Linked DNA regions of Kluyveromyces lactis. The protein of the gene in region 3 interacts with the protein of the main gene of each other region in a biochemical or structural test. Links are inferred from orthologs where the notes say so. Each region holds a gene or a part of one and is shown on either strand. Other genes may lie near its edges. The genes, in order: ACT1, SRV2, ABP1, SCP1 and APP1.

Region 1 (7,012 bases), on a different chromosome or scaffold from region 3:
TCTATCCATATACTTTCTCTCTATGTTACTTGATAAAATCCAAGGTCCCTTGGCATTTAAGATTACTTGGGGGTTAGAAGTGATACCCAGTTTATTGTTATTGATGCTATTTCAAGCACTACCGGAGTCGCCAAGATGGTTGTATAAGCATGGATATTCCAACAAAGATATAGATCGGTCGCTAGCGATTTTGAGAGTGAAGGATGTTGAGAAACTCAGAGAGAAGTTCGTTAGTGAAACGAAGCAAAAGCCAAAGCTTTCCTATATTATCAAGAAAGGTTACTGGAAACACATGAGTCTCGGTATAATAGTCCAGATATTAATTCAAATCAGTGGTATTAATGTTGTGATGTATTACACTATTTACATATGTGAAATGGTTGGCTTTGATGATGATGTCAGCTCGAAATTAACCGCAGGACCTTATATTGTCAATACGATATTTACCTTAGTCCCTGTCTTTTTATTAGACAAGTTTAATCGCAAAGTATTCATCGGGTGGGCAAGTGTATTTTTAGGTGGTATCATGCTATTGATAGGATTCCTAATTGGTGAAAGGGAAAGGCACGTCGGCGATGTTGTTTTGAGAAATATAGTTGTCGCCTTATGTTTCCTCTTTGTTTCGGTATTCTCTTCATCATTGTCATGCGCTGGCTTTATCTATACTAACGAAATCTTACCAGAATCCATAAAATCCGTGGCCTTATCAGTTTGTATATCGACAAGTTGGTTTACAGGGTTTGCCCTTGCATTAATGGCACCTTATTTAATGCAAATCGTAGAATGGTGGACCTTCGTAATGTTGGGAACATCAACAATAGCCTTAGCTTTCATTATAATTATGTGGTTTCCTGAGACGAGAGATTTGTCACCACACGATATTGACAATCTATTCAAACAAGACGCGCTGTCAGCAGAAGTTGAATATGAAAAGATAGAGTCGGATCAAAGTGCAGATTTTGAAAGTATTCCCGAGAGGTCTGGTGCGCCAGAACCTGACTCATTTGTGTGTACCACTACTACCACTGAAGTGACGGAACGTTGAATTATTAGTTTAGTCTTGTTTATCTATTGTACATATTAAATAATTTACTATTTCATAAACTAAGAATAACTTTCAACACTAAAAATCTTTGTTCTGGAACATATGATGATTTTAAATCCTTTTCAAATTATCAGATGATCAACTTAAGCAATTAGCCTCGCACGAATATTCAATAATTGCCGTATATAACTTTCAATTGGAGTTGTTTAATTTTAATGTTGAATTTGAATTTCGTTCGTATATAATCTCGGCTTATTAACTTATTAACTTTCATACTAAACTACCCACTTCATTTATATGAAGTAGAATATTCCAACAACATAAGATAGAAGATTGGAACTTGAATAATGACTGTGCGATCGAAGATAAATAAAAACAACACACAAAACAAAATTATAAAAACAAAGAAGATTTGGAGTAAAATCGTCCCTATATGAAGTTTTAATAATTGTTAGTTTTTTGTTTCATAAGCTTCAATTTTTGGGTTCATCTATATGAATCGATTCATCGTTTATTTTAATTGTATTCTTTTTATAAGAGTGTCAAGTAAAAAAAAGTGAAGGAGATTAGAAACACTTCAAGTGAACGATGGATGGACCAGATTCGTCGTATTCTTGCTTTGAGATCCACATTTGTTGGAAAGTGGTCAAAGAGGCCAAAATAGAACCACCGATCCAGACAGAGTACTTTCTTTCTGGAGGAGCGATGATCTTGACCTTCATAGAAGAAGGAGCCAAGGCGGTAATTTCCTTTTGCATTCTTTCAGCAATACCTGGGAACATGGTGGTACCACCGGACATGACGATGTTACCGTACAATTCCTTTCTGACATCAACATCACACTTCATGATGGAGTTGTAAGTAGTTTGGTCGATACCAGCAGCTTCCAAACTTAGAACAGATGGATGGAACAAAGCTTCTGGAGCTCTGAATCTTTCGTTACCGATAGTGATAACTTGGCCATCTGGTAATTCGTAAGACTTTTCAACAGCGGATGATTGAGAAGCAGTTTGCATTTCTTGTTCGAAGTCCAAAGCGACGTAACATAGCTTTTCCTTGATGTCACGGACGATTTCTCTTTCAGCGGTAGTAGAGAAAGAGTAACCACGTTCAGCCAAGATCTTCATCAAGTAGTCGGTGATATCTCTACCAGCCAAGTCGATTCTCAAGATAGCGTGAGGCAAGGAGAAACCGGCGTAGATTGGAACAACGTGGGTAACACCGTCACCAGAATCCAACACAATACCAGTGGTTCTACCAGAAGAGTACAAGGACAAAACAGCTTGGATAGAGACGTAGAAGGCTGGAACGTTGAAAGTTTCGAACAAGATTTGAGTCATCTTTTCTCTGTTGTTCTTTGGGTTCATTGGAGCTTCGGTTAACAAAACTGGGTGTTCTTCTGGAGCAACTCTCAATTCGTTGTAGAAGGTGTGATGCCAGATCTTTTCCATATCATCCCAGTTGGTAACGATACCGTGTTCAATTGGGTAACGTAGAGTCAAGATACCTCTCTTGGATTGAGCTTCGTCACCAACGTAAGAGTCTTTTTGACCCATACCGACCATGATACCTTGGTGTCTTGGTCTACCGACGATGGATGGGAAGACGGCTCTTGGAGCGTCGTCACCGGCGAAACCGGCTTTACACATACCAGAACCGTTGTCAATAACTAAAGCAGCGACCTCTGTTTAGAATAAAAAACCATCACGAGTAGCAGAATGCAGATTAAGGAACTAAACCGTACGTTTGGGTAGGTTAGGTGTTCCAAAAAAGTGAATTCAGCCATCCCAAATAGAAAAATAATTGTTAGTAACATAAGATAAGAAAACAAAAGTAACAGGTGCATTTTGGGTGATCATGAGGTTATGTGATTGTTCAACGCTAAAAGTCCTGTCGCGGACAAAATAGGGGCTAACCTTAGCAACCAGAAAAATAAATCAAAAAAAAAATAGGGACAACCGAACCACGAGGGGCAATGCCTGCACCACTTAAAGGTGTACTTTGATTCCTTCTTGGACTGGAAGGAATAACATTGTAATATAAAATCACATCATCACGTGACATCAAATTATCTTTTTTTGCCTATATTTTCCAAATTTCTTTCCAATTCGCCTCCTAAATCAGGTAAAAAAAACCCAAAATCCAAAGTTAGTCACCCAAAACCCAAGAAAAACACGTTATAGTAAGAAGGTAGAACCAGGAAATGAAAGATCCAATTCTCGAACAAAGCTTCTAATCCAAACCCCTATATATAAAAAAAACCCATTCAATTAGCGTTGTACATCTAATTCTAAATCTGATTTAGGGAGTTAGAGAATGGACAATGGCAGCGCAAAGCGCTGCCATTATCCTATCTTTTCCCTCCCAACATTTAACCGGAAACCTAACAAAGTAATAAAACATATCCAAACTTTTTAACCACCCAATTAACCCACCGTAATCAAATATACGTTTCCACACATACCAGAATCCATATTGTTATACTATAGCGCGTGAAGATGTTGTACAATTCCTTTTGCAATCAACAAAAAAACCGTTATTCTGAAACAACCTTTCTTCTCTTTGGATCGTAAAAGACAGTAAAGAAGGAGGAAACAAATCAAGATATTTCTTATTTTTCTTGTAAATTAAATCAAATTTCAAACTCTCTCATACAATAAATCGCACTAGCTGTCCAGAGAAACAGAAGAGAAAATTTCGAAAAAACAAATTAAAAAAAAAAAAAGAATTCTGATGAAAAATAGGAGACGATTGTCATTGTCCACGAGGCGGAGCAGTTGCGGTAATGGTTTTCTAGTGGTTACGTGGGATTCACTGTACAGCTGGAGGGGCGGACTTGCAATTGAAGGCTTTGTGAAGGCTGGAAGTTTGATATAACGTTGGTAGGCTGTCGGTAGAATAGTTATATCGTAGTATATTGTATTCATGAGGCAGTTATCGATCTCTGGATGTTAGTACATCTGGTTTATTTTACAATTCATTATGACCGCATATCGTCTTAATCCTCCGTATATTAATGTGTATATTCAAAATCACGTGACATATATGTACGTTACCCGGATTATAATGACTCGGCAGTTGAAATCTATACGTGAATATATGTTACGTGGATCATCATCAACTATCATTGAAGCAACGGGAAGGTATTAATAGATCAGGTTAATATTCGACAGTACATTTATGTACATCTATCTCTATCTCTGAAGAATCTCACCCACCCATTGTAGAATGGCTGGAAAATCGTCCAAGAAGATTGCTGCAAAGAACGCAGCCATCTTAAAGCAGTTGCACGTACTAGTCGTCGCTATACTATCTTTAACGTTATTGAGGAAATGGTTCAGTAATGGGCTGATTTCAACCCTAAAACCTATTCTTTTCAATGTGCCGATGTTGTTATGTTTATATATTCTCGAACGTACCGGTAGACCAAAATATGAAGTCAGTAACGCTGCGCATGGAAAATATAAACTAGTTAATGAAGGGTTCGATTTGGAATCTGGTGGACTCACTGAATACATGAAAGATATCGTGTATGTTTCCTTGTTCTGTAACCTGGGAACAGTTTTCTTCAACACGATGAAATGGTGGTTCTTGGTATTAGTGTGCCCTGCGTTTATTTTCTACAAGTTGTACTACTTGAAGCAACAGTATTTCCCCGGTGCCTCAGCTTCAAAGGCGGATCTCGCAGAGACAACGCCCGCTGAACCTTCCAAATCAAAGAGACAATTGAAGAGGGAAAAACGTGGTGATAAATCTCAGGTAAGATACCGATAGATTAATGTTAGAGAAGGGGTTGTATATACTATATCCATCATATATCTACGAATACATTCTCTTATATATAGAGAAAGTAAGAAAGAAAGGAATAATGATTGTAATTGAAATTAAGTCTAACTATAATAGGCTCTAAATAGACAACCACCGGCTCTTTCGTTAAAGCTATGTGGGGCAAATGGTGCTTAATGTTGTTTGTGATGTATACGGGATATTAATTCTTCGAAATATGGTAATTATCAGACAGTTCTTAAATTCAGTTCCTGATTTTTCAGACACTTAGTGTATAGTAACATAGCGATGATGCTATCCAATTTAGCAACAACCACCATTGGATCCAGTCAATGATTGGCCCTTTAAGTTGACGTTGGACTTGTCTTCAGCTCTACCATTATCTTTTTGTTGTTTGGCGACACTTTCCTTGATTTGCTTGGTCATGATCAAGAAGGCCTCCTCAACGTTAGAAGAATCTAGTGCACTGGTTTCGATGAATGGAATTCCAATAGAATCTGCGAACTCTTTAGCAACTTCGGTGTCAACCACCTTCTTATCTGTCAAATCGTTCTTGTTACCAACTAGTAACTTCAACACACCAGCTGTACCGAAACGGTCGATTTCTTGCAACCATGTCTTGACGTTGTTGAAGGATTCTTGGTCTGTTACATCGTAAACGATAATTATACCGTGGGCACCACGGTAGTAAGAAGATGTAATAGTTCTGAATCTTTCCTGACCGGCAGTATCCCAAATTTGTAGCTTAACAGTTTTGCCATCTAACTCAACAGTCTTGATCTTGAAATCAACACCGATGGTGGATATATAGTCGTTGGTATAGGTATCATCGGCAAATCTTAACAATAAACAAGATTTACCAACACCGGAATCACCAATCAACAATAATTTGAACAAATAATCGTATTCGGTATTCATTTTTTCTTTGTTTGCTTGTAGTTTATAGCGACTGATACGATTCGACTGTTTGTTAAAAAATATGGGCTCCTTTTGTAAGTTGTGATTGGATGGACTGCGTTGTAAGTTTACAATATTTCTCTATTTTAAACACACCTTTCTGTATCCCTCGTTGTTAATATCTCTCCGTTAAAGAAAATGAGTAAAGGAAGTATAAGATAAAATATGATAACAACCCCAAAATAAAAGTCTATCCTTTAGTTAAGCTTTCAGTAAATATGCAACAGTAACCAGAAAAAAAGCAAGCGTCTTATCAAACCGCATTTGGAATAACTGAAACTATGCTATTGTTGCTTAATAGAATGTATTTCGGTCCAGGTTTCACTGTTTGAATTTTGTTCTCCTGAACGGAAAAGATTCCACAAAAGATTACCATCACGTGACACAGAAATACACAGTGTTGTTGATATAGATCAGTAATGAACCTGTTACACTACACTGAACTATTTCGGACAAGTAATGAAATGGATGAAGACATTACAAAGTTCAGGTAACTGATAGGAATGATTCGTAGTAATCTTTAGGGGAGATGTGAAACTCTACAAAATCTCACAGGATGTAAGATGCGAATGCAAGAATCTTTGCTTGGATGAGTTTTTTCTAAGTTAAGATACATATATATGTATGCATGTGTATATCTAGATGCTCTACTGACTAACTTGCAGGAAGACTCTATGAATGAACTTAAGTTTCGAGTTTCTAACTGGTTCTAGCGTTTTCAAGCAAGGATTCTATCAAAGAAGACTTTAGCCAAATGTTTAATGCCTAACCATTTGTCCATGAACATAGGCAAACGAGTTGAGATGAAGTTTTCAATCATCATTTGGTTCTGGTTACATAGCAACCTCATTTGTTCACTTTGATTGTATCTTAACTTAAAGAATATAGCGTATGCCCAGATTGATAGAAGTGTGAATAAACTCTTGGCATTGAATGTGATAAGCACAGAGATTAACTGTATGGGCAGCATGAGACACACTTTGCACATCGTTACAAGTTCTGACATCACTGCAGCATGGAAGAAAGACCCGTTGAAATTGGTGATGAAATACGAGATTTTATTTGACAATGAACCTTTTAACATGGGGTTCATTGGAATGAATGGCAATACATTCTCTTTGAAATAATTCAATGCATGGAACAAAGAGTATATAACCATAGATGATTCAGTTTGAGTTAAAGTTTTCCCTCCTGATAGAGAACATATCAAAAGAACAATGGAAA
Region 2 (6,578 bases), on a different chromosome or scaffold from region 3:
CATCTCAATATGGTTCTATGGTGTTTCTCATCTTTCTAAACTATGAATGCTAATATTTGATATCATATGTCACGAAATTCCTCTAAAAATTTTTCAATATCGGAAAGCTTCAAGCATTAGATAGCGTTTGATTGAAAAATATTATGCAGGTAGTTCGGATATGCAATGTATTTCCATTTCGAAGAGTCCGTAAGCAGTCAATTCTGGTTAGTTTTGTCAATACATTGTGAAGAAAAAGACCAGCAATGCCTAGGAAAGCTGTACTTCTGAACTCTTTGTCCAGAGGGAAGGTTCGTACCTCTTTTAACAAGTACAATTTGTTCAACTTGTATAAGAAATCTCAGGTCAGTTTTAGATCGAAAACACTATACCAACAGAAATGGACTTCTAAACAGGAAACTCGTGCCTACCATGGCGAACATTTAACAGAGAGTAGGTGGCAGTCTGTTTTCGAGCCTCAGCTAAACTCTGTGGCTCAATTAGATGCTTCTCTAAGGGGTGGTGATATCGAACCGACGCCCATTCTATTACAAACATACGCTGTACTAGAGAAAAGGCTAGACTTTGCTTTGTTTAGAGCTATGTTTGCCTCGTCAGTGAGACAAGCTCGTCAGTTTATTTTACATGGCAACGTCCATGTGAATGGTGTAAAGATTACTTCTCCGGGATATGCCTTGAAAGCTGGTGATGTTTTCAACGTCAGACCCGAAAAAGTGCTACAAGCTCTTGGTGCCAAGAAACCTAGCTTGAAGGAAGCTTTGAAAGTGGATAATACCCAAATTTTCCTATGGAACAAATATATTCTAGAGGCTAGAAAGAATCCTAGAAAGTTCTGGGATGAAAAGATCGAAAAACTAAGAACTATGGATAGTAACGATCCAAAGAAACAGGAATTTTTATCCTTCCTCGAAAACTACAACAAAACCATGCACATTCAAATGAGGAAAGAATTAGACCAAACCAGTAACGAGTATTTGTTAGCTAAGATCTTTTCTACCGTTAACCGCGTTAACGATGTAGAAAAATTGGCAGTAAAAGATTTCTTGGGCGAATTTTACAATAACGAAAATTTGGCAGCTAAAGGATTCGAAATTTATAGAGAAGTCAAGTCTGCCAAGGCTGTGGAAACGATAGCAGGGAAGCCTTTGGCTGAAATTCCTAATGAACAAGGTGAATTGCTAAAGGTGGCTACAGGAATAACTAAACCTGTTGATAACACAAACGATGCCTTAAAGAAAAAATTCAGAGCCATCAATCATACTATAGTTGATTTGAGACATTTCTATGAAACCGTGGTCAGAGAACATTATAATGACAAGATGGCATCCGTTGATTCTGTTGATATTCCATACGATGCTAAGTGGGCTGAAAAGTTACCATTGCATCAAAAGATCAATGTTCCTGAACTATTGGAAAACGAACCAGCTGCTCAAAAAGCTATCAATTTACCATGGCAAAAGGGTGTGTTTGGTCGTAACGATCCATCTAAACCATATTTCACTCCGTGGAAACCAAGACCCTTCTTAGCACCATTCGCCATTCTACCACACCATTTGGAAATATCATTCAAGACATGTCATGCGGTCTACTTAAGAGACCCTGTTGCACGTCCAGGTCAATCTGAAGTTATTACTCCATTCGGCTTACCTGTACATGAACGTTCATACATGTACTATGTGAGAAGGGGTAAATAAGTTGACGAAAACAAATACACACGAAAGAATGGATACACTGTGACTATGACAATTTAAAAAGAATGGTGTATCTTGGAAACCTTGTACATATTATTATCATTATTTTATCGTATCATATTATATTAATTATATATATATATTTATATGTTCTAATGAGTAAAGAATAAACTAACACCCAGTAACGAGAAGATATACTATTCAGATATTCAACCAGCATGTTCGTAAATCTTGGTTTGTAGTTTACCTTCGACGAAAGTGTGTATCATCTGTTCTGGAAGTGGAACTTCAACGAAGTCACCATCGGGACCAGTTGGAGTGTTGATGTTAATACCAGTGCTAGAAGAGGTGAAAATTTGAGCCTGTAAAGAGTTTTTACTCAAATAAATGGAGCCGCTATCAGACGCGTCGATGGTGATTTGTGGCAGGGTGTTTTCCACTTGAATACCAAATCTCAAACATTTAATAATATCCACACCACTGATGGAAGAATCTAGCACTAAACTGCATTTTTCTGTTTCATTGACAGTAACTGCGTTGACCTTACCTTTGATTTGTACCAATGTGTTGACACATTTACCGATGAAAACAGATTCGTCAATTTTAGTTTCGATCACTAACGGTTCGGCTTCATCTTCATAATTTTCAATAAACCATTTATTACCGATCAATTCCTTTCTTGGAGGCTTCTTAGTCTTCAGAGTAGATGGTTTCTTTGGTTTAGGTGGAGGAACAGCTTTGTCAGAAACCTTCCCTGAGGCACGAAGTTCTGGGTTCTTATGTGTTTGCTGAGACTTTTCTACTTTCTTTAAGGATTTAGTGATGTTTTCACCTTGGTTTAACTCAGCAAACACAGCACCGATTCCACCAGATTCTTGTTCTTTTGATTGTTCATTGACTTCGAATACGGAAGCCGGAGGAGGTGGAGGTGGAGGTGGAGGAGCTCCGGCGCCTGAACTATGCGGCTCACTGGAAGTAGCACCAGAAGAAGAAGCTCCGGATCCCTCGTTGGAAACTCTTTCGTATACGGTTTCGAAATCCTCACCAGTAGTGTCGTTCCAAGTCACACCTGTGGTATGGTATTCCTTAACGTACAGCTTCAAGCTATCGAAAACGGACAAAAATTGTTGGACCCATTCAACGGATTTAGGATCAGTGCTTCTGAATTCTTTCAAGATTCTATTTGTCCAAAACTGGGCAGCGTCCTTGAAATCAGTGATAGTAGACACAGGTGTAGATCCAGCAATCCATGAGAACAGTGGTGATCCCTCAGAGATAGCATTCAAATGAGCGAAATACTTACTGTTACGGTTCTCCTCTTTCAACTCACCAATAGAGAAGATGTTCTCGTTAATTGGGGTCAAACCTTTCACGAATGCAGATGACGAAAAGTCTGGCTTCTTTGATTGTACTGCTGCCTTTAAAAACACCAACTGAGCTTTGAAAGCGTTGGCTAAAAACACCACAGCTTTTTCAACAGTAGGATCAATTTCAGCGGATAATTTAACCAAAGGATCAACGTTCTGTTCAATGAAATGCTTAAATTCTTGAATTGATTTCGGTTCTTCCTCCTTCGATTCACCAGTACTGTTTGGTGCTGTTGCTACCGGTGTTGCGGCTTCTTTAGAAGCTGCTGATGCGCCTGAACCTGCACTAGCAATTCTTTCAGCAGAAGAAGCAGTAACAGAATCAGCGAACCCATCAACCTTACCGTCTTTCTCTAAGCCAAACTTGGATTGAACATAGCCTTCTTGATAAATCGTAACATCCTCCAATCTGGCAGTAGCATCCTCCAATCTCTTCAAAAGTTTTACCAAATTGTACCCCTGCACTGAGAAATTTGTTTCAGTCATTTTCCAACTTGCTTCAATCCACTCAAACGTCCTGATTACAGTTCACCGTCCGTATTGGAAGCCTTTCATACACCAAAATCAGAGCAAATGCCCCTATTAAAATGTTTCTCTTCTATTATTTTTTTGTTTTTTCTTGATTCCTTAAAAGTGTCTCTGATGAACATGTAAAAGTGACCATTGAGAACAAAGTTGACGAAAAACTCTGGAATGGTAGGTTAAGATGTTAACTTATGTTACGAAAGGAAACATCAGGTTACTATACGACTGTGGTACTCTGTTTCATTTTTCTTACGATTCAGGAAATTAGTACGGTCTTACTTTTTCTGGTTAAGATAGCAAAGGAGAATTCTGTTGTGTGTCCTTTATTGTAAATATGGCATCGCAGCATCGGAATGGTAATTCGAAGTCCAGGAATGGGGGAGGAAAAGGTGTAGGGAAAGGTTCTAACTCGTTGTTTGGGCGTGTTGGAAATTCTAGTGGCCAAAATCCCGTATTACAGAAGAAGCAGACTTTGGAAAGGGCAGAGAAAGCAAAGGCAGAAAAGGCCAAAGCAAAGACTGGATTGACATTTCTTGGTGGTAAACTTGTGTTAGCTGCTGATTTGCAGGGCAATAAAATGAAAGCCAGCTCAGATAAGAATAAGCAACAAATTCAATCGAACAAACGTGTCAATTTGCTTCATAATTTGAAGAATAGAGCTAGATCTAAGCAACGAAACAATAGTGATAACAGTAATAATAAGAAGTTGGTTATTTCATTGAAAGAGAGTTTGAAATGTTTAAAGATACGAAATTTGCCGATAGGAACGAACCCTTCTAATTTACAAAGAGTGTTACAACAGATGGGCAACTGCAAAGTTACAGACTTGAAAGTTATCGATCTTCCTACTGGTTCAGCCCACGCTGAGGTGTTTGCTTCCAACATGGATTTAGAAACGTTACACAAGAGGTTCAACCAGGCCGAAATTGATGGCAGAAGAATCTTAACAGAGATTTCTTCGCAGCCAGAACTTTAATTAAATATATTACAATCTCTGAAAGCGTTTTCGATAGCTTTTTAACTTCGATACACCTAACATAAAATACACGTTAAATACCGCATGTACCAACAACAAAAATATTGCAAATACACTTGTGTAATATCTATAATAATCATTAATCGTTTCCAATATCCCTTTTGATTGGTTTTGGCGGGTTTGCAAGTTTTCGTAACAGTGTTAGTTGGGCATCCCGTTTGGAAGGGAATCCTGACGCCAATGTGTAATACTCTAAAAGGTTCTGATGAATAGCCAAGCTGGCATATGTGTCCTTGCTTATCGTATTAGACCACTCTTCCTTTGTTGTTCTAGCACTCCCTACCCCTGGATGTTTCTTCCGCATATCTTCATATATCAGTTCCTCTTTCACTTTGTTACTCTGCAGTTAAGTCAGTAGTTAGTATCATTGGTCAGCATAGGATATTACACATAAATTGGAAAAAAAAAGTACATACCATTGTTTATAACTTCCTATTGTTCTCACTGATACCATTAACTTAGTCAAATACCTAGTATACTGACTGCTGTGACTCTTTTCATCCCTGTTTGAGATATCAACTCTATTCAAGTTACCATTCTCACCATGCCGACATTTTTCAAATATCGAATTTGAATATGTTAAAAATCTGTGAAAGATATAACACATACATTGCGCAACATCAACCTCATGATTGTAGCGTCCTGGTGACGGAAGAGCAATAGGGGTATTTGCATTTGCCAATTGAATTAGGCACACGGTAAATTGTTTTCATCATGGCATTGTACGACTGTTTGAATAATTTGGCTTCCAATCTTCCAAATGATGAACAAGTTACTTATTTTGACAAGACGTTTTTCGATGAACCAAGTCGTGGTGTAGAAACAATCATATCACAGTACCTTTCCTTAGATGCCAGTTCTCAGAAATCTGATTATGTGTATGATTTGTTTCTGGAAGCTTTTTCCTTAATCAATGGGAAATCTGATGAATCGGAGTTTTTAAATTTGGATGCTATCAGCAAAATAGTTAGTGCGTTATGCAACGAGGATAGATATAACTTCGAGCTATTTGTTTCGTTAGCGAATTCATACCCTTGGGAGGCGAACAATGGGTTTAATGATTTAGTTGGGTGTGCCAAGGATCTTCAGTTAGAGGTGTGTATTTATTTGAACGACCAAATTCTTTCAAAGGGTACAGAAAGATGGTCCAAAGATTTTTGGTCCGCATTCAAAAAGAGCATCGTTCCCGAGTTCTTCCTTTTGCAAAAACCAAATTTATTCCTAGAATGCTCTACTGGTTTCAGTCAACTGATAACGTTGTTGAATATCGCTTTTGAAGATGTTGACAAATTCCAATCTGTTCAATATTACAGTAAACAGTTGAAATATATTATGGGGAAATATAAGCTAGACCCAATCAGGTGCATGGATATACTATTACAAGTGTCTTCATATCATGTCGTACACCATTTTGAGTTTATTCTTGAGCTTTTGCAATCTACAGACTACTGGCCATCTTCGAATTTGGCCAACTGCTCACGGTATGAACAATTGAACCAAGGTGGTAATCCGATAGCTACCAGGTTGATAGTAAATTACCTTAATAATGGTAAACCAGATGCAAATTACATCGATTTAGTGGTTCATCTAATTAAAGGCGGGTTTGTCTCTTTTGCTGCTATATTCGATTGCCTGACCCCGTACGATACTGACATTGATGAGTTTGTAGAGAGGAAGCTGACGACATTGGAAAAGGAATCCTTGGAGGGATCTCTTAATCCGTTAGCTATGGCCTCCGTCCTTACTGACGAAGACAATACCATTTCGAAAAATACGGAAGGTGATAAAACCAATACAGCGGCAGATACTGGGATATCGGAGAAGGAAAAAGAAGCACTACTTCGAGAAACTGTTGAAAAATCACCAAAATGGAAACTAGTAGAGAGGTTACTTGTCAATGGGCACTTTGTTCCAGGATTGTATGCTCTATTCAAATATCCTCGGTTCTTTGCCGTGAAC
Region 3 (6,604 bases):
TTTCGGTGTTCTTTTTAGGAACAGTATCGTTACACACTTCACAATTAAATGTTACCATCTTCTTTGAGCAGTTTATGTTTGGGTACGGTATGCGTTCAACTAGGATATTCCGATGCTAGAATATAAGTCATTTATCTGTATAATCATTCTATATTATCTCATCTCATCTCATCTCATCACCGAAGATTCTTTTCACTTTTTAACATCAGCAGAAAAAGAAAAGTCCACAGCGTGTATGAATTTAAACTTATTTATGGGGAGCACATTAACAATGTAAGGAAATATGTGTAATTCCATGAAAAGTCCCAATAATTTGAATGTTGAAAGCTCTTTGAACACGGTTAAGATTCTAAATTAGTTACGAATGCTTGCAAATGTTTTGGCTAACACCCACAATTTAGGAAGGTATCGCATAGACATAGTCACGTGATACAAATTCCACACATGTATTTTCTTATGAAACGACACTCAAATGGGCAACTGACCGTCAGTTAGCGACAATTGATTGTCCTTATACATAGCTTCGTTGTATAGTTTGTTTGAAAAGCCTTAATCCGTCCTCCCCCCCATTTTCTGTGATATTTTCTTGCCGAAATAGGATTCTAATGCTCCACTCAATATGCAACTTCGGTGATAACTGCTAAGTGACAAGTTTCGGACATTTTTATTTACATCTTGCGTCATAAAGGCCAAAGGAACGGGGAAAAGCCAATTTAACAGCTTCAAAATCGGATACAAGTTCTTTTTGCAGTGGAGAAAAAGTAGTAGATGGTTTCGAATAACCAAGTTCGTCTGTAACCCCACCATCGTCATCAGCCGCGGGGGAAAAGGAACCATCACCGGTAGAAATAAATTTGTTGCCATTACATATACGCCCATAAATCGATGAAGGCTTGTATTAAATCGTATTTTGACCATATATGATATTTACTCGATCTGAATCTTGTCCTTGGGTTCGATAATTTCTTGTATAATCTCGAAGAAGGCCTATTTTTCAAATAGTGCGTCAGTGAATACAAACCTGCCGGTATCGATATTATCGATTTCGGAGCTTGTCTACCAGTACCTTTCTCAGAGTTGCGATGGCATAGTTTCCTAACATGCATATATGAGAATCATGAACGTGGAAAGTCGTTCCGGGATCAGTTATTGTGGTAAGGCCCCCATCATTATAACCAATGTTTAACTCAACAGTGATTTCAGCATAAGGTCCGTTTCGTAGTGGAAAATAAGCTGAAATCTGGCCGGAGAATAATTAATAGAACATCGAGCAATTTGAAATTCTCACCGACAGTTAATTTCCTGTTCCAACAGAAACATCATCACAGCTTTATTCCAAAAAATAGTTATTGATTCCTTGATAAGAAAACTCTTCATAAAGCTAATAACAGTTTTGCAATATCGTTCTCTACTCTGACCGCTGTTCATGGTACTAAATATTACCCGGTTTCATGTCAACCGCTGTTTCTCTAAATGAAATCTGCACGAATTTCTCGAAACTAAAACCACAGTTCATATTCCGGGTAACCTATGAAATAAAATCTTGACAATTGTCTCCTATTCGCCATGAATGCAATATTTGAACTAGGTTAAATTATTAAACATGAATCAATCCACTGCTGTTTGGTGGAATGATTGTACCATCCTACCTTTATATATATTTAAACAAATATAGAAATATCTTAAGACAAGAATTCTGCAAAGTCAATTGAATTAGTGTGTGTTTTTGCCAATTTACCAGACAAATTTGAGGTGCATTACGTTCCTTTCTTGTTGTTATTGATCTTAAGTTATTATAGGGTTATCAGTCTGGCATAGCAATTACGATGGCATTTGAACCAATTGACACTACTACACACTCGCGTGCCATTGAGGCCGAGTACCTGAAGGTTGTGAAGGGTGATCCAGATACTACTTGGTTGATCATCTCGCCAAATTCTAAGAAACAATACGAACCTGAACTAGTCGGTACTTCTTTCAGCGAGTTTTTGCAAAGTTTCGATGATACCAAGGTTCAATACGGTTTAGCTCGTGTTTCTCCACCAGGTTCTGATGTTCAGAAGTTGATTTTAATTGGTTGGTGTCCAGATTCCGCTCCATTGAAAACCAGAGCTTCATTTGCTCAGAATTTCGGTGTGATCTCTAATCAAGTGTTTAAGACCTACCATGTTCAGGTTACCGCCAGAGATGAGGATGACTTAGATGAATCTGAATTGTTAATGAAAATCAGCAACTCCGCTGGTGCCCGTTATTCAATTCAACAACAAACACCGGCCTCCAAGAAGCCAATTTCCTCTGCTGCCAAGACAGCCAAGAAACCAGTCAGTGTTTCATCCAGACAATCTGAGCAAAAGGAACCTACACCATCGTTCCCATCAAGAAGATCCGTTTCTCCCCCAAAGACTGAGAAGAGCAGAGGTAAGAAGGACGATGAATGGGGTGAACCAGAGTTGGAAGAACGTGATTTCGACAAGAAACCACTAGAACCAAATTCTTCTTCCTGGAAACCAATTGGTAAAGTTGATCTACAAAAAGTGATTGCTGAAGAAAACAGTAAAGAAGATCCCCGTCTAGTTGTTTCGGGGCCTAATTACGACAAAAAGATTGATCCTCAATCTGAGATTGCTAAATTAAAGCAAGAATCCAAGCTAAAGAGGGATGCAGAATACAACAAAGTCTTGGGACCAAAGAGTTCTTCCTCAGCTCAATCATCAGGAAACGATAGCGACGATAAGGTGATCAAGGGTTTCAAGAATGAAAAGTCACCAGCTCAACTTTGGGCTGAAAAGAAGGGACAAAAGAAACCATCTAATTTAGAGAACAAGACCCAAAGAGAAGAGTTCTCAGATTCTAACGAAGAAGAAGAAGCTGAAGAAGAGATTGAAGAGGTCAGATCAAAATTTGAATCAATTAAAACTAAGGAAATTCCTATCATAAAACCAAGTGACTCTAGCAGATCTAGACCTCAAGCTTCTAAGATCAACTCATCTGACAGCTGGACCAAGAAACAGAACAAGTTTGGCCAACCACTACCAGGTCTGCATGATCAAAAGAAGGAACAAAACGATGACTGGAGTAGTGATGAGGAGGAACAAGAAGAAGAGGAAGAAACTCCAGCTCCTTCGTTGCCTGTGAGAAGAAATGTTCCTCCCCCACCCGAAAGCGATGAGGAGGAAGAGGAGGAGCAAGAGGAAGAGGAAGAGGAAGAGGAAGAGGAAGAGGAAGAAGCTCCTTCTCTACCAACTAGGAGAAATGTTCCACCCCCACCGGAAAGTGACGAGGACGAAGAAGATGATGATGAAAGAGCATTTTCTAAGTCTCAAAATACTCCTCCATCTCCAGCACCAAGAGCATCCAAACCTGGAAAGAAAGAATCCGGACCATCAGCTATTGCTGAATATGATTACGAAGCCGGCGAAGATAATGAATTGACTTTTGAAGAAAATGAAAGAATCATTAATATTCAATTTGTCGATGATGATTGGTGGTTGGGTGAACTTGAATCATCAGGTGAAAAGGGTCTATTCCCAAGTAATTACGTCAACTTAGAGGAATGATCCAATAAATTACCACTACTCTAACTTTATCATTGTTAATAAATGATGATGTTATAAGTTGGTGGGACTTTGAAATGAATATATCATGTATACTTTACAAGTAAATAATGTTAAAGAAATAAAGTACAAAAGTAAACTAAACAAAAGTCTACTTATTTGCCTTTTACAATTTCAAAGTTCATATCTACTACGCTCACTTCTTCTCCAGCATCGTCATCATAATCATACCATTCGTTTTCGTCGTCTTCAAACTGAAACTCCATTTCCTTCTTCGAAACTAGTTCAGCTACAAAAATAGTGTCAGCAGGTTCAAATTTAGTTACTTCACATCCTCTGCAGTCAAGCTCGAGCCAAACAGCTTTTTCCACAGGAACAGAACGTAAGCCAACCTTCTTTCTGTCCTTTTTACCCTGTTCAATCAATTCGAAATTAGATTCTTCATCTAAATTATATAAGTCTTCCTTAGTCCTGGTCAAGTTTATTGAACACTCATTGCCACAAAATTTACATTTCATCACGAACGAGGCATTTCCTTTACTTCCAGGCATGTCATGAGATTCAAACCTATTGATTCTAATAGGGGAATCGTGCTCCTCTCTACAGCTGGTACATACTAATTTGAAGGTATATTCAGCTGGTGATTGTTCTGTATCTTTTGGGAAAATCCTTCTGATATTCTCTGACAAGGTGGCACAAGATGTCAAAAACAACATTATTTTGGGAGCCAAATTGGTACGACGATTACTTTGATATATAACGTTCCGGCTTCCGGTTCATAAAAACCCTGTAAGTTATCTCAATAGGGTCCTAGTCTCATTTGTTAGTGGTTCATTAATTTTTTTTTTTTTTTTTTTCACCAGCCTCATCCATAGGAAAGCATCTAAGAAGAAAATAGGTTTCGTTCAACATGAAAAAGATGCGTAACTAGGTTTGTGCCTACCACATGTAGAGAATGAAATAACATAGAACCTCGAAGTCAATTGATTTGTTTAATGGAAGTTCTGGGAGATCTGTGTGAATCATTGCTACTGTAGGGAGACGAGATATTAATACAAAATTAGAAGAAGCCTGGCGTAGTACTTTTGTCAATATAAAATAGCTAAAAACAATGAAGATGGATAGAGACACAGTGAGGATCTTCACTTTGATCATGGGGATGTATATTGCAGCCATTCTTCTTACCATGTACAACAAATGGATGTTCGATCCTAATAGAAGTTTGCATATTCCATACCCATTGTTGGTGACAGGCTTGCACCAAACACAGTTATGGGGTATGGCATATCTGTATCTCCGGTGGAAAGGTCAACTAACCCCCGAAAACTTGAACAAAGGTGATTGGAAGTACTATGCAAAGTACATTATCCCAACTGCTATAGCAACTGCTGGTGACATTGGTTTAGGCAACATTTCCTTCAAATACGTTCCATTCACTGTTTATACAATTGTCAAATCATCTACTATTGCATTCGTTCTTTTCTTTGGCTGTCTATTCAAGGTGGAAGTACCATCTTGGAGACTATTCATTATAGTGACATTGATGTTTTGTGGTGTTGTGATGATGGGTTTAAAACCAATAAACTCAGATAGCTCTCAGACTCATGGTGAAATTCAGGAAACCTTTGGTGTGATACTTGTGGTGATAAGTTGTGCCCTAGGAGGGTTCAGATGGGTCTACGTTCAAGTTATTCTCAACCACAAGAAGAACACCATTGTCTTGTCACCCAACGATGGTGATGAGTTGATGGCTGCTGACAAACCTGCTACTAAGAAAAACCCGGTCATCACTCTATATCAATTAGCTTTACCAATGACTATACTTCTATTTTCCACTTCATTCATAGTGGAACGTCCGATTCCTGATGTACTGCATTCTGAATTGATGACTTGGGAAGGTCATTCGAAACTCGCGGCTCTATTACGTGGATTAGCGCTTCTCACACTCCCTAGCTGCCTTGTTTTCATATTAACAATGTGTGAGTTTGGTATATTACAATTGGCTCCTGTATTAACTTTAAGTGTCACCGGGATCATCAAAGAACTATTCACCGTTTTCTTAGGCATGCTGGTATTCAATGAAAGGCTAGGATTTTACAACTGGTTAGGCATGATTGTTGTACTAATCGACGTATGCTATTACAACTACTACAGATACATGCAAAGAAAAAGACTACAAGAAGTACAACAGGACTACCAACTAGTAGAAACCGATGAACCCCCATGTACATCTACGCATGATGGTGATATTTGGTCAAATTTACAAGACAACATCAGTGGAGACTCGGCGACTGTATGGGAATTAGGGTCCTTGAATTCCAGAAAATCAATCGAATCTAACCTACCAGAGCTAACATCAGGTACCATTACCGAACCCACTAAAAACAAAAGTGACGACACCGTAATGGGTAATTCCAAATAAGTGAATCTGCATCATTCACCATATTTGCATTCTATCCTTTATCGATTTCATCTCACACTCTTTTTTTTCTCTCCTGCATGAAGTATAAACTAAACACTCCATTGCATATGCATTTGAATAATAACCATATCAAATCCCGAATTCACAAAGTCAGAATTCAGCTTCCTATAAGCTTCAGACAGCTTTACTCGAAATGTAAACTATATTAAACATGTACACTACTCAATTTACACGTTTTAGATGTATTCTAATGCCAGCTTCGGACTTTAGAATCAAATGCTTAAACTGCCATATATGAATGAGATCACGTGCGTTGCATCCGAAAGACTGTAAACTAGGATTCCCTGAGCAGACAGTTATTTCATTACTCTTATAGAGTGCAAATGATTAATATATTACCCGATCAACATGAGCACATCACTTAACACGAAGAACACAACTAACTACGTATTCAAGATAAGTATCTCCGTATTTTCTCCGGCCCGTTTAGCAGCATGTCTGGATTAATACTGACAGAAATTTCAGTTTTTCGAAAGAGAAATCTCATGAAAATGAAAAAAAAAAGCTGCGACCATGGCAATCAGAGGGAAAAAATAGAATGATGGATAAGGAAAATTGATAATGAAAG
Region 4 (5,714 bases), on a different chromosome or scaffold from region 3:
CTAAATCTTCAAGGATTCAATGGAACAAGTTTACTTTTAGGTTCTGAAATACAGTTAATCAAAAATATAGGAATAGTTGATCTTTCTGACAGCTGATTTTACACTCAGACCAATTACAAAGATTCGGTGAATGCAAATCTCGAGACAAATACTAGGATGGTAAGATAGCAAGAGTTTAATGAAAGTCTAAGTCAATGAGTATAGCCATATCGAGAAAGCTGCTATCTAACAGAAAGGCCTTGTATGGTGAGAAAGAATTGTGCAGCTCTGATCCAATCGAAAGCATTGATGACATACTATTCACCTTTGTTGCTGAGTTAAATAAGTTGGGTTATCAATTTTCAGAAAATGCGCAGGACTATTTGAGAACACTGTCTGTCAATGAACTAACAGAATTCAGGTCCATGGCGAAGACTGTTCTGGAGGAAGCTTTAGGTGCAGACGTAAAATATGTACCGTTGTTTCGCAAATTCCCTGAGTCTATTCCTGACAGAAGTCTGTTGGTAGAGGCAGTCTACGAAAGTTTAGGAGATCTGACTCATTTGCTGTTCTTCAACTTTTATGGATATTGGTCATCGTCCGAGTATAATGGATCATGGTTTGGTAGACAGTATCCCGATTTAGAGTTACAGGAGGCCATTAAGCGTCCTGAATTAATCACTGGCAAAGAATTGACGACATTGGATATAGTCGGCCGAGGAGTGGTCTTAGAACTTTTCGAAAACCTCGCTAATTCGAAGACTTCAACTTCTGCCTCTGACAAAGAATTCATCAACTCAGTGATAGCCACTGGGAACGATTGGAAATCTTCTTTACCAGAAGTTATTCCTAGCAAAGAAAACCTTGTGCACATCATTGGTTGCGCTGCTACAAAATCTGGTCCATTTGATGAGGAATTACAGAAATTGTTTTCCACTCATATCAAGACTGCTACAGATGTTTTACGTCTTGCAGCTTCGTTCTCTGGATCAGATGTGGCTTTGACTAAGCACACGCGCTTCAAAATATCAAATTCTCAAAGAAAGTTCTTACTGTTCGCGTTAAACAAATTGGATCGTGAAACGGCAATGGAGGATATACTGAGATTTTTGGGCCTCTGGCTTGTATTAGCTAAATATTTACATGTCAATGCTTACGCTAGCAGATATCCAAACGCAGCCAAAATGATCCAAACAATTAGAGGAAACCAAAAATCGATAAAAACCTTCAATAGAACAATTGAAACAGCCTTAAGAGCAAGAAAGGACCTTAAAAATGAAGGCAACATGGAAAGCAGTTTAGAATCAATTATACATATTTTGAAAGCAAGGCCTGGTGACTTTGCTCGTCGGTTAGATCACCTTCTGCGTTCATATCCATCTACAGAGCATGCTCAAATTGTAATTAGCTTTTTGGATGTTGCATCGTCTGTATCGACACCGCTACTTCTGAATCTTTCCACTCATTTTCAATATCGTCATGAAATATCACCCATACGTGTTTTCTTGCCAAAAGGCTCTGCAACCAACGCCATTATAGAAGATGAAGACGAGCGCCAGACTTATTCCTCAGAACTCTGTTCAAATTTGTATAAGGGCATCGACTCTGTACTGATAGAACGATTCAGTAAATTAGAGCCTTTAGGCAATATCTTTATTGATCCAATATTAGAGGATTACATACCACCAATAGGATTGCGGGACGCATCAGAGGCTTTGCATACTTTTGGCAGAGGGTCCAAGATGCGATTTGATAAGAACTCCAAGGTAATTCGGTTGTTCTTATACTGGGAGAATATAAAGGAAACACAAGGCGCAGCACACGAAGGAAGGGTAGATGTTGACTTATCATGTTTGCAGTTATCAGATAACTTCGAAAACAAAGGAGAAATTGCGTATTACAATTTGGCTAATGGCGCCGTCACACACTCTGGAGATTTCACTGATGCGACGAATGGTGCCGCTGAATTTATAGACGTTAAGTTAGATGATATCAAGGAAGCATTCCCAGAAACACGCTATATTGCTGTGACAGTTAATTCCTATACTGGTCAAAAATTTAACACTTTCACAGCTAAAGCTGGTTTCATGATTAGGGACAATATTAGTGGAGAACATTTCGAGCCAAAAACTGTCGAGCAGAAGTTTGATCTTCTATCAGCTTCGAGATTTAATATTCCAATGGTGCTGGATCTATACGAAAACACAATTATTTGGCTTGACCTCGCCATTTCTCAGAACAAGATTTACAACGTCAACCTCCATGAAAAGACACCACTTGTTGGATCACTAGCCAAGTATGCTCTGAACATTTATAGAGAAAAATGCAACCTTTTAAAATTAATGCAACTTCATGGCGAAGCCAGAGCCCAGACTGTATCTGCACAGCACGATCCAGAAAAAGATTATGACCATTGTTTCGATGAGAATTTTGCATCAAAGACCGATGAGATAGTGGGGAATTTTCTAATTTAGATCGTTAAACGTCAATGAATTTTATATTACAACGACGAACAATTGCTTTCCGGCAGCACGATTCAGACATCCTTCTCCTTAAGAACTGATTAACAACTAGTCTAAATGATATCTGCCGGAACAATTTCGAAAGCACTTGTAATGCATCCTTCTAAAAATTTGGTTACTTGAGCGTTACAGTTATCTCTCGATATTGACAGCACGTTATTGGCATCCTTCTATATAATTATACATTCACTTCTATTTACCGCTAATAAAATATCTGTCATTAAAACTTCCTCTTTGGTACAATGGGTCTCCATCAGAGAATCGTGATTCGTAGGCATTAACAATACTGCTTACAGAAATTTAAACTGTTCTTTTTTATATTGACTCTTTGGCTCCATATATTTCAAGTACACTTTTGAGGGTCTATAATATGTGGTAGCGCCATCTTTTTTGAGTTTGGTTTTTTAATGTGTAGGCATAAATTAAGAGACTTAACGAGTGTGCATATCGCCACACCACAGAAAGTATGATGAGAGGGATAGCTATTGATTACGTTCAGTTTTTTTTTAGTTGAGCTACGGGAACTAAAGCTAATCTTACTAAAACATGAGCTACGGTATCAAGCCTGATGTGACATCATTGGATGATGATCTTAAAGAATCAAGAAGTAAGAAGTTCAACAAACATGATATAACAGAAATAAAGAGATGGATTTATGCTATTATTGAAGAACAATCACCTGACGACAGTCTTTTGGATGCATTAAAAGATGGTACTGTGCTATGTAAGCTTGCTAATAGACTCTTAAAAGAAGAAACAGGAGTGTCCGATTCAATGAAATGGAAAAGTTCAAGAATTGCGTTTGTTCAAATGGAACAAATAAGTATGTTCTTACAGTTCGCAACTAAGTACGGAGTTCCACAAGATGAACTTTTCCAGACTGTTGATCTCTATGAGGAAAAAGACCCAGCAATTGTCTACCAAACCATTAAGTCATTATCCAGATATGCAAATTCCAAACACCCTGACCTGTTCCCAGTAATAGGTCCACAATTATCAACAAAAAGGCCGAGACCACCTGTGAAAGGAAAACCATCGCACTTAAAGAATGTTGGATGGAGTACTGTAGAATATGGTTACATGAAGGGCGCAAACCAATCCACCGAGGGTATTGTTTTCGGAAATAAACGTGATATAACAATGAATTGAACACCTTGAGATTCCTAACCGGAAAGCCATTCGATTCACTAAGTATTGAGACCGATCAAGCAATATTCTGATGCTTGGGCAACCATGTATCTCAAATTTACCTTCTACTGAGGGTCTTTTGACTTTTATACATTAGTTGGCAATCTGTACATAAAGCGAAAAGATTAGTGCTGATTGATGTAACAAAAAGCACAACATATTCATAAGGGCAAGCAACACTTAAAAAGGTACCGATTGTGTACCTTGAAGACATCAAGATCTTGCTTCTGAAGTCGTAGAGTTTCTACGATTCAAACTAGTGCAGATGATTAACGATCCATTAAACGAAACAAAAAAAATAATGGTTGCGAAGAGATTCGAACTCTTGCATCTTACGATACCTGAGTGTTCCCAACTGTAAGGTTGGTTAAGATTGGTATCTTGAATCAGGCGCCTTAGACCGCTCGGCCACACAACCATTTGAATGACTTTTGAAATGTAATTGCCAATCAAATCCAACAAGGATTTACATATAGGAAAAATTGGGCGTCTCTTTACTCAAGATTTTTAGAAATTAGCGACTGTATTAAGCAAAATTCATGCAGAATCGTGGGAGACATTGGGGGAATACTTCCTGAAAACTGTCAAATCTAAAGTCCAGTCGTACTGGCCTCTACCACTATAAAATATTAGCATCTCGGGGCTCTTTTCATACATGTTTACTAGATGAGCAAAAAGGCCGTGACATGTTACTGAAGTAACTCAATTCATACATGCTTAAATAATAAGAAAAGAATGAGGTGTTCTTTCACACAATACTTGACAAATAAACTAGAAATGATCACTATGTTCGAATATGTATTTGTTGAATTAGGAAGCGAGGTGATACGAGAAATAAAGTTATTAACCGCTTACTGAATATTTGAATATTAAATCTGTCTGACTATGAGCGGAGGGGGGCCAAAATCAATTTATTGAGCCCACTGTAAGACGGTAATAGCAATAGAAACAATGATTATCGAGATCGGAAGAGTTAACACAACGTAACCCCAGAATAAAACGTTGGCCATTTCAGCCTCAAAGAATTCGTTTAATTGGGTAATTTGAGTTAATTGAATTGCAGGTGGTGAGACTGTCAAAATGAACCCAACCACTAAGAAAATTGGATCATCCAATATACTAACTTTGATAAATTTAACACAACCAGCAATTATCGGTAGAATGAAACATGATGGCAAAACCATACGTCCCATTATAGATGCGAAAACTAATTTTTTGTGATTTTTGGTGAGAGCAGCAGTTTCTCCCGATGGGTACAAGTTTGAACCGAGTACAATAAGGATCAATGGAATGGAAACTGATCCCAACTCAGCTATAGCTTCAGATAGTGTATTGTTGATGAAACCGTCAGCTTGGAAAAATTCATGTTGTAAAGGTGGGATTGACGCAACAATTACCGAGAACAACATGGAATATAAAGGAGGGTTCATAAAACTTCTAACTTTAGCAATGTAAAAGCACGTCTGCTGTTTCAATTTCGTAAAAGTACCGGCATAATATGGGCTCTCACGTAGATTCACTTCCTGTTGTGAAGCTGCAGAAGTGGATTCACTCTGCAAACTTAGACTTGAAACATTATTTGGGTCATTACCCAATGTAGCCTGCGATTCCAATTGAGAGGAAATACGATGGTTGTGATGAACTGAATCCTCTGACCATCTCATCAATTTGTTATAACCCCATGACCATCTCAACACTTGGCCGATTTGTTGGAAAATCAAAAGATAGAGTATACCTCTTGACGCAACGTTATCCCTTGAATCATCAGGGATTTGGTCCCAAGTTAAATCCGGTAAAGTGTAGGCTAAAGAAAGGGTCAAAGAAACTGGTAAAGAGTTTGAGTTTCCGAATATCGAATTAGCCACTACGAAGTTGGTTTCATCGACATCAAATCCGAACAAATACGATAACAATTTACCAGAAAGGAAGGAAATACCTGTGGTTAAGGCATAGAACAGCGGGATTATAGAAATTTCCAAAATTTTTGCCAAGGAAAGAGACTTGGCTAATTTACTGAAAATCAAA
Region 5 (6,683 bases), on a different chromosome or scaffold from region 3:
GCTCTTGCCTTTTATAGATCACGTGATTATGATTAAAGGTGTCACATCCGTCTGAAGTGATTTGGAAAATTTTTGGCATTGAAATGCAATAAGATCAAATAAGAGATGAGCATGAAGATGCTTAGGAATCGTCCTCTTCCCAACGCCGGATATATTACGAATTGAAGGTCCTATATTTGTTTCGGCTTAATCTGAAAACAGGGACAAAGTACACCCACTTAGAACCTTGTCAAAGATCTCTAAAAACTGAATACAACTTAGTGAAAGATGCCACCAAAGAAGAAGCAGCAGCAACAGCCTGCTAAGAAGAAGGACAATGTTGACAAAACGTTCGGTATGAAGAACAAGAATAAATCCACCAAGGTGCAAAAATTCATCAAGCAAGTTCAATCACAGCAGGATCCTGCAAAGGAAGAAATGAAACGGAAGAAGTTGGAAGAAAAGAAGATGAGAGAGGCTGCAGAGGCAGAAAGAAGAGCTTTATTCAATCCGGTACTGGACCAGAAGGTGAAAGCTGGTGTGGATCCTAAAACTGTGCTCTGTGCGTTATTCAAGATTGGTAATTGTAACAAAGGTGCACGCTGTAAGTTCTCGCATGATATGAATGTCGGACGTAGAGTGGAGAAGAGAGATTTGTATCAGGACACAAGAAGTGAAAAGGAAGAAGATACTATGGACAATTGGGATGAAGCTAAGTTGAGAAGTGTGATTTTGTCCAAGCATGGTAATCCTAGAACAACCACTGAAAAGGTTTGTAAATATTTCATCGAAGCTGTCGAAAACGGTAAGTACGGGTGGTTTTGGATTTGTCCTAACGGCGGTGATAAATGTATGTACAAGCACTCCTTACCGGAAGGATTCGTATTAAAGACTAAAGAACAGAAGAGGTTAGAAATGGAGGCCTTTGAGAAGAAGCCAAAGATCACTTTGGAAGAATTCATCGAAACCGAAAGGGAACGCTTGGATAAGAGAAATTTGACACCAATTACAATGGACAACTTTGCTGAATGGAAGAAGAACCACAGAATTGAAAGGCTCAATCTAGAAAAAGAGAATAACTTGAAGAAAAAACCTAGTGGACGTGAAGTCGTGCTGAAGAAATATACAGAAGACAAGAGATTTGATCTCGTCGATGAAACTGATTCCACGAACGGTTCAGCGTGGGATTTGACCGAGTTCACAAAAGCATTAAGAGATGAAGATAGTAATGGATCTAGTGGAATCAAAGATTATGGTGATGGTAGTAATCCTACTTTTGAACTGCCTAGCAGAGATGGCCCATCTAAACAAAGCACTACACTTACTGCCTGAGAAAAAGGACAGCACTTGCATACACGCTGTATATTTCAATGGTTGGTTGTCTTCATTTCAAAAATTCTCTTTGTCATTCATACATAAATATTTTGTCATTAAATATAGTTAATACTCAATTTGCAAAGAGAAATATATATGTTCTAACTTATCATTTTCCAGTTTCCTATCATAATGAATCAATTTTATTTATGCTATCTTCCAAGCACAAAATGGGATCATTGAAAAACATGAAGCTAGCTTTAACGTCGTTTTCTTTTAACTTTTTTACAGCAACTTTAACTCTTTCATTCCAACTTTCAGCCTTTTTATCAAAGAACTCAGAATATGTTCCATAATCATTCTGCGAGGATGGAATTGAATATACAGCGTTGTCCATACTGCGCATCTTTAGTCTTGTTGGTTTTCTAGGAGGTAAAGGTGGTTGTGTGCCAGACGATTTAGATTCAGAAATTTCACGCTGAAGAGCATCACTCAAAACTGGCTTCTTTTTTAGAACCTGTGGAGGCTTTTTTTTGACAGGCTGTTTTTTATCCGTTTTAGCTGGGGCAACATCTGAATCTGAATCTGAGTCAAATTGGATTAAATCGGGGATATCATCTTCTTCCTTTATCTGGTCTAAATAAAACTTTTTAATATGATCATTTAAAGCTTTCATAACTCTTACGTCATTTTCAGATTCATCACTCATTGAATTCTTGCAACATCTGATGTATATTCCAATAATCTGTTTTGGAAATTGACTCGCAGCCGATACGTAAGCTTCGAGGTCTTGCTCACCGGAATCACCTACCAGAATGAACTTTTTGTTCGGGAAATCATTGCATATTTTCAATATTGATGCAAGCTTTCTCTGTGCACTGGATTTCATAATACTTGAGAGTAAGTTACCAGAATACTGTTTGAGGAACATGGGTCCTAACGGATAGTTTTCACCAATATATTCCGATAATATTGGGTATATCTGAGCAGGGGCATTTGATACATAAAAGAAATCAACTGCTTTGCTATCTTTTAATGTCGTATACCATAATGGCATATCTTGAATTTTCCATTGTTCAAATCCGTTGACAAAAACGTTCAAAAAGATCGATCTTTTATCTCCAACAATACCTGTGTGTTTTATTGTATCATCTATGTCACTAATAAGTCCAACTCCACTGTTTTCGACATAAAAAATCTGGCAATCTTGGACTAGCCCGGTTTCCAAGCATTTAACTTTTGCACCAGCTGGTTTAAATTCGGTACTGAGTAAAATATTAAACCCACCAGAGTTATCAGAGACCGTTATTTGATCCATCTTATCATTTGATCCGTTATACAGCGTAGTTAGAAGGTTGACGTTCGGGAGATGTTTATTCATGAACCCCGCTATTCTTTGCCTTAAAACTTGTTCCTGTGTCAAGGGAGCAACCCCATCTCCCATTGACAGTTGACCTGAGCTTGTGGATGATGACGTCGTAGATGAACTGTCCAACGAGATATTAGAATCGTTTTGCAAAGATTCTAATCTTTGTTCAACGTTAGGTGGAGGATCGTTTCTTAAAAACTGTTTGCAAATAGACAAAAGAATACTGTTTCTTTTGCTTCGTTGACCGGTAGAATATATCAACCCTCTTAATTCTGTGACATAGATACTATCCGATAGTTTTCTTGAGTATGATGGGTAACAAAGCAGCTTAGGTGGGAACATTTGAAACTCTAAAGCCCTTGCCTCTGCAGGTGACATGTCATTCCCGTAATAGTTCTTCAAAGAGTTTTTGGCAGCATTGAAGTACGAATCCTTGGTGTGCTTCACCATATTATAGATTCGCTGTCTCCTACCATACGGCACGTTAGCACCCCATGAGGATCCATCAGCAGCTAAAGACGGGTCCATAGATATCTTTAATTTCGATTTCAACGCTTTAAGAGTTCTCTTTCTACGCAGTTTCTTATAAATCGAGACAGATCTTCTCTGATCTTTGAAAACACTATTCAACGGCAACAAAACGGCAAATATTTTAAATACGGTGGGTTTCCAACGTTTGTGTATTGAGTTGTGACTTGTAAGACCCTTTTAAACAGTTCGCCTGTAACTGTCCACTGATAAACGATCCGAGTCAATAATCACAATTAAAAAACCAGGAGAAGAAAACAGAGATCAAAGGAAAGATAATAATTTATCCCTTAACCGAATGCAGAAAATATGATTATTTCATTCAAAGGCACTTATTGAAGCGTGTTAGACCTTGTTAAATACAGTAATTTCAAGGCAAAAACCAAAATGCGTCTCTATATCATGTCTTCATCTGCATGTTCTTTTTGTATAAAGCCTGGATACTAAACCTTTATAAAACCTTAAAAAAATAATAATAAAGATTCCACATCCCAATAGTCCCAACAAAAAAACAAGCAACAAGAAAGAAAATGAAAAATCAAGTTTTGCTGAAATACTGCAACAACTGGAATATGACTTCCTTGAACCGTATGTGCTGCACTTCATAAGTATAATTAAACAAGAATATAACCTGCATGTAAAATTCGGGTCACGTGAAACACGTGACCCGTATTTTCTACCACTCGAATGAAAATATTCTTCCAGCTTATATAAGCGTTGATTATCTTCCGATCCCCACGCTACCTTCTTAGAGATTTCAGCGTGGGCAAACACAACGGTCGCAGATTCCCGATCCCACATTAAAGTATGGGTCACAAAATGGCTCAGCTCTTCCAGCCCTTCCCTTTTCTCATCACGCTACATGGGATGCATTAGGAAACCGGTAGCTCATAGAGATTAATGATACCATCAGCTGCGCAATCATTCAGCAACACCGGCTTTTAGTTTATGTAATTCATGAAACTAGGTTGATGCAAAACTACTTTTTTTTAGTTATCTCCTCTCCTCGTAGTCATATTGAAAAATGCCTGCAAAATGCTTTTTAAGCGATGAGTTATCAGAGATCACGATAATATAAAGATAGTTGTATTTCTATAAATTGGTTTGGAAAGCGAAAGGAACAAGGTGTTGGTGAGAACGCTTTTTAGGGCTTCACATTGTACAGCGCCTACTTCTTCTGTTTTCTTTTTGATTATCTTTTTGGCATATAAGAGTAACATATTTGCTTTGCACATAAGCCAAGAATTAGAGCGAACTTCCTAAACAGGTACTCCAATTTGCTTCGATAAAGATCTAAATAGGTTGGTTTTTCCGTGGCACAACGTTACTGAAATTCCTCTACTGATCGACAGTATTTGAATCCTAGAATACACTATTTATAAAAAGACCAGGTTGTCTTACAAACGAGAGAGGAAACACTTGGATTAGCATATAACACCACGGGAGATATTCACTCGAATAATAATCTCGAAGTTATTAAAGATATTAAAAGTTACATGAATTATAGATTGCATAAAACTTGCAGCACGATATGGGGTTGACTGTAGGAGAAGCGATCTGGGCTTCAGTGAAGCCTATTATTAAGATTTATATGATTATAGCGACTGGGTTTGGTTTGGCTAAGGGGAATATCCTTACCGTCGCAGCAACCCGGACATGCTCAGATATCGTTCTAACGGTCTTACTACCGTCGCTATCATTTAACAAAATCGTTTCAAGTATTGATTATAGGGATGCCAAGGATGTCGGTATCATTTGTTTGACGGCAGTCATGATATTTGGTACAGGGCTTTTCTTTGCATTTGTAGTTAGGAAAGTGCTTCCCGTACCGAAAAAATGGCGTGGTGGTATATTAGCCGGTGGGACATTCCCAAATATCAGTGATTTACCAATCGCTATATTACAAACTATGGATCAAGGTCTTCTTTTCACAGAAGAAGAAGCAGATAAGGGTATTGCTTCTGTGATTATTTTCTTGGCCATGTTTATGATTTGCATCTTCAACTTAGGAGGCTTTAGACTTATAGAAATGGATTTCGAGTACGCGGATGAGGAGAATGCCTCTATTCAGACACCACTCGAACCACCTGCGCAATCTAATGCATCTCAGTTTCATCTTCAAACTGATTCACAATCATTCTGTTCAAAAGAAAACGATCGTGCTGTAAATTCCATCAATTCTCAGGAAGCTGTTACTTCTCCAATACAGCTTGCTGAGGATAATGTAATTTCAAGGCGCCTTACTAATGCAACGGCGGCCAGTGCCCAGTCTCTCAGTTCATCGCTAAGGTCGATTGACCTAAGATCTATGCCTCCGGAAAATGTTCACGATTTAATAAAAGAATACTCTAATGTAGACCAATACGGAGCTCGCAGAAATTCTGTTACATCCACCATAAAACCCGAAACCGAGGATTCAGGTCAGGTCCCTCTTAGAAAAGAGTTCACAACTTTGAAGAGAATTGTCACATCAGATGCTACCGTAACTGGCCAAGATATCAAAGAATCAGCTAACATTTTACCCTCGAGAGTCAGAAATATTCCTGGTATGAGTGTACTGCTTTTCTTCCTCAAGAACTTTTTAAGACCGTGTTCGATGGCTGTTTTCCTAGCATTACTTATTGCATTCATTCCTTGGCTTAAGGCTCTGTTCGTTACTACCTCCAATGGACCGTACATTCATCCAGCACCAGACGGTCAGCCGGCTCTGAATTTCATTATGGATTATACAGGATACTTAGGAAATGCATCAGTGCCTTTTGGATTGATGCTTTTGGGAGCAACATTAGGCAGACTTAAGATCAAAAAGCTATATCCAGGATTCTGGAAATCCGCTGCAATTTTAGTGGTCCTAAGATTGTGTATCATGCCGATATTTGGGGTTCTATGGTGTGATAGGCTAGTAAAAGCAGGTTGGTTAAATTGGCAGGACGATTCAATGTTGTTGCTGGTTATTGTTATCGATTGGGGTTTACCAACAATGACTACAATCATATTTTTTACAGCCAGTTTCACACCACCAGATTCGGAAGACACTACCCAAATGGATTGTGTAGCCTTTTTTTTGATTTTGCAATACCCTGTGCTGATAATAAGTCTGCCATTCCTGGTAACGTACTTCTTGCTAGTGCAAATGAAAGTGTAATAAAAACGCTGTGAACTCCCCTTATTCTGCCTTATTCTAACTAGATGTATTACATCGTATCAGATTGTCCGTGTATACTGATTAATTATTAATGTTACAAAAGCTTAATACTTAGAACTCAGGTTTTGTGGTCTGATGAGTCCGTTTATTTCGAACTCCCGGTGGCTCAAGAACTTTGATACAATAAAACTATACCAGATTTTCTTGATTTTTTTCAAAATCTGATAATAGATAAATGGAGTTATTCTCCCCAAAACTAACGCAAAATTGGGAATCTATGACTATCTTTTTATTCAACCAGTCACTCAAAATTTGTTTCCTGTTCTTACTCCAATCACGATAGGTATT

What was found.
Region 1: the proteins of ABP1 (region 3) and ACT1 form a complex in vitro, tested with the Saccharomyces cerevisiae proteins (2 studies listed by BioGRID). The link is inferred for Kluyveromyces lactis from reciprocal best matches to the Saccharomyces cerevisiae genes ABP1 and ACT1.
Region 2: the proteins of ABP1 (region 3) and SRV2 form a complex in vitro, tested with the Saccharomyces cerevisiae proteins (4 studies listed by BioGRID, with this or other methods). The link is inferred for Kluyveromyces lactis from reciprocal best matches to the Saccharomyces cerevisiae genes ABP1 and SRV2.
Region 4: the proteins of ABP1 (region 3) and SCP1 interact in a test that uses a peptide from one of them, tested with the Saccharomyces cerevisiae proteins (2 studies listed by BioGRID). The link is inferred for Kluyveromyces lactis from reciprocal best matches to the Saccharomyces cerevisiae genes ABP1 and SCP1.
Region 5: the proteins of ABP1 (region 3) and APP1 interact in a test that uses a peptide from one of them, tested with the Saccharomyces cerevisiae proteins (2 studies listed by BioGRID). The link is inferred for Kluyveromyces lactis from reciprocal best matches to the Saccharomyces cerevisiae genes ABP1 and APP1.

The regions. Positions count from the first base shown.
Region 1 is NC_006040.1:458,233-465,244, reverse strand, and holds ACT1 (actin), read right to left. Parts: upstream 3,520-7,012; coding exon 3,510-3,519; intron 2,730-3,509; coding exon 1,612-2,729; downstream 1-1,611. Other genes in the region: KLLA0_D05379g (uncharacterized protein), read left to right, coding at 1-1,045; SND2 (Snd2p), read left to right, coding at 4,274-4,819; Rab family GTPase YPT1, read right to left, coding at 5,135-5,749; PER33 (Per33p), read right to left, coding at 6,507-7,012. UniProt on the Saccharomyces cerevisiae protein: Actins are highly conserved proteins that are involved in various types of cell motility and are ubiquitously expressed in all eukaryotic cells.
Region 2 is NC_006037.1:1,002,236-1,008,813, reverse strand, and holds SRV2 (adenylate cyclase-binding protein), read right to left. Parts: upstream 3,545-6,578; coding exon 1,901-3,544; downstream 1-1,900. Other genes in the region: NAM9 (mitochondrial 37S ribosomal protein uS4m), read left to right, coding at 246-1,694; KLLA0_A11616g (uncharacterized protein), read left to right, coding at 3,918-4,559; U2 snRNP complex subunit YSF3, read right to left, coding at 4,699-4,959, 5,036-5,038; THO2 (Tho2p), read left to right, coding at 5,334-6,578. UniProt on the Saccharomyces cerevisiae protein: The N-terminal domain binds to adenylyl cyclase, thereby enabling adenylyl cyclase to be activated by upstream regulatory signals, such as Ras. The C-terminal domain is required for normal cellular morphology and growth control.
Region 3 is NC_006042.1:941,454-948,057, reverse strand, and holds ABP1 (Abp1p), read left to right. Parts: upstream 1-1,826; coding exon 1,827-3,557; downstream 3,558-6,604. Other genes in the region: KLLA0_F10219g (uncharacterized protein), read right to left, coding at 1-58; KLLA0_F10198g (uncharacterized protein), read right to left, coding at 864-1,106; KLLA0_F10153g (uncharacterized protein), read right to left, coding at 3,710-4,270; YMD8 (Ymd8p), read left to right, coding at 4,666-5,976. UniProt on the Saccharomyces cerevisiae protein: Regulates ARP2/3 complex-mediated actin assembly. Recruits ARP2/3 complex to sides of preexisting actin filaments, which may promote nucleation or stabilization of filament branches. Binds to actin filaments, but not actin monomers.
Region 4 is NC_006040.1:539,837-545,550, forward strand, and holds SCP1 (Scp1p), read left to right. Parts: upstream 1-3,047; coding exon 3,048-3,650; downstream 3,651-5,714. Other genes in the region: KLLA0_D06281g (TerD family protein), read left to right, coding at 195-2,453; KLLA0_D06380g (uncharacterized protein), read right to left, coding at 4,601-5,714. UniProt on the Saccharomyces cerevisiae protein: Has actin-binding and actin-bundling activity. Stabilizes actin filaments against disassembly.
Region 5 is NC_006039.1:1,164,131-1,170,813, reverse strand, and holds APP1 (phosphatidate phosphatase APP1), read right to left. Parts: upstream 3,191-6,683; coding exon 1,481-3,190; downstream 1-1,480. Other genes in the region: translation machinery-associated protein TMA46, read left to right, coding at 268-1,311; putative ATPase ECM3, read left to right, coding at 4,722-6,335; CMR2 (Cmr2p), read right to left, coding at 6,525-6,683. UniProt on the Saccharomyces cerevisiae protein: Mg(2+)-dependent phosphatidate (PA) phosphatase which catalyzes the dephosphorylation of PA to yield diacylglycerol. May play a role in vesicular trafficking through its PAP activity at cortical actin patches.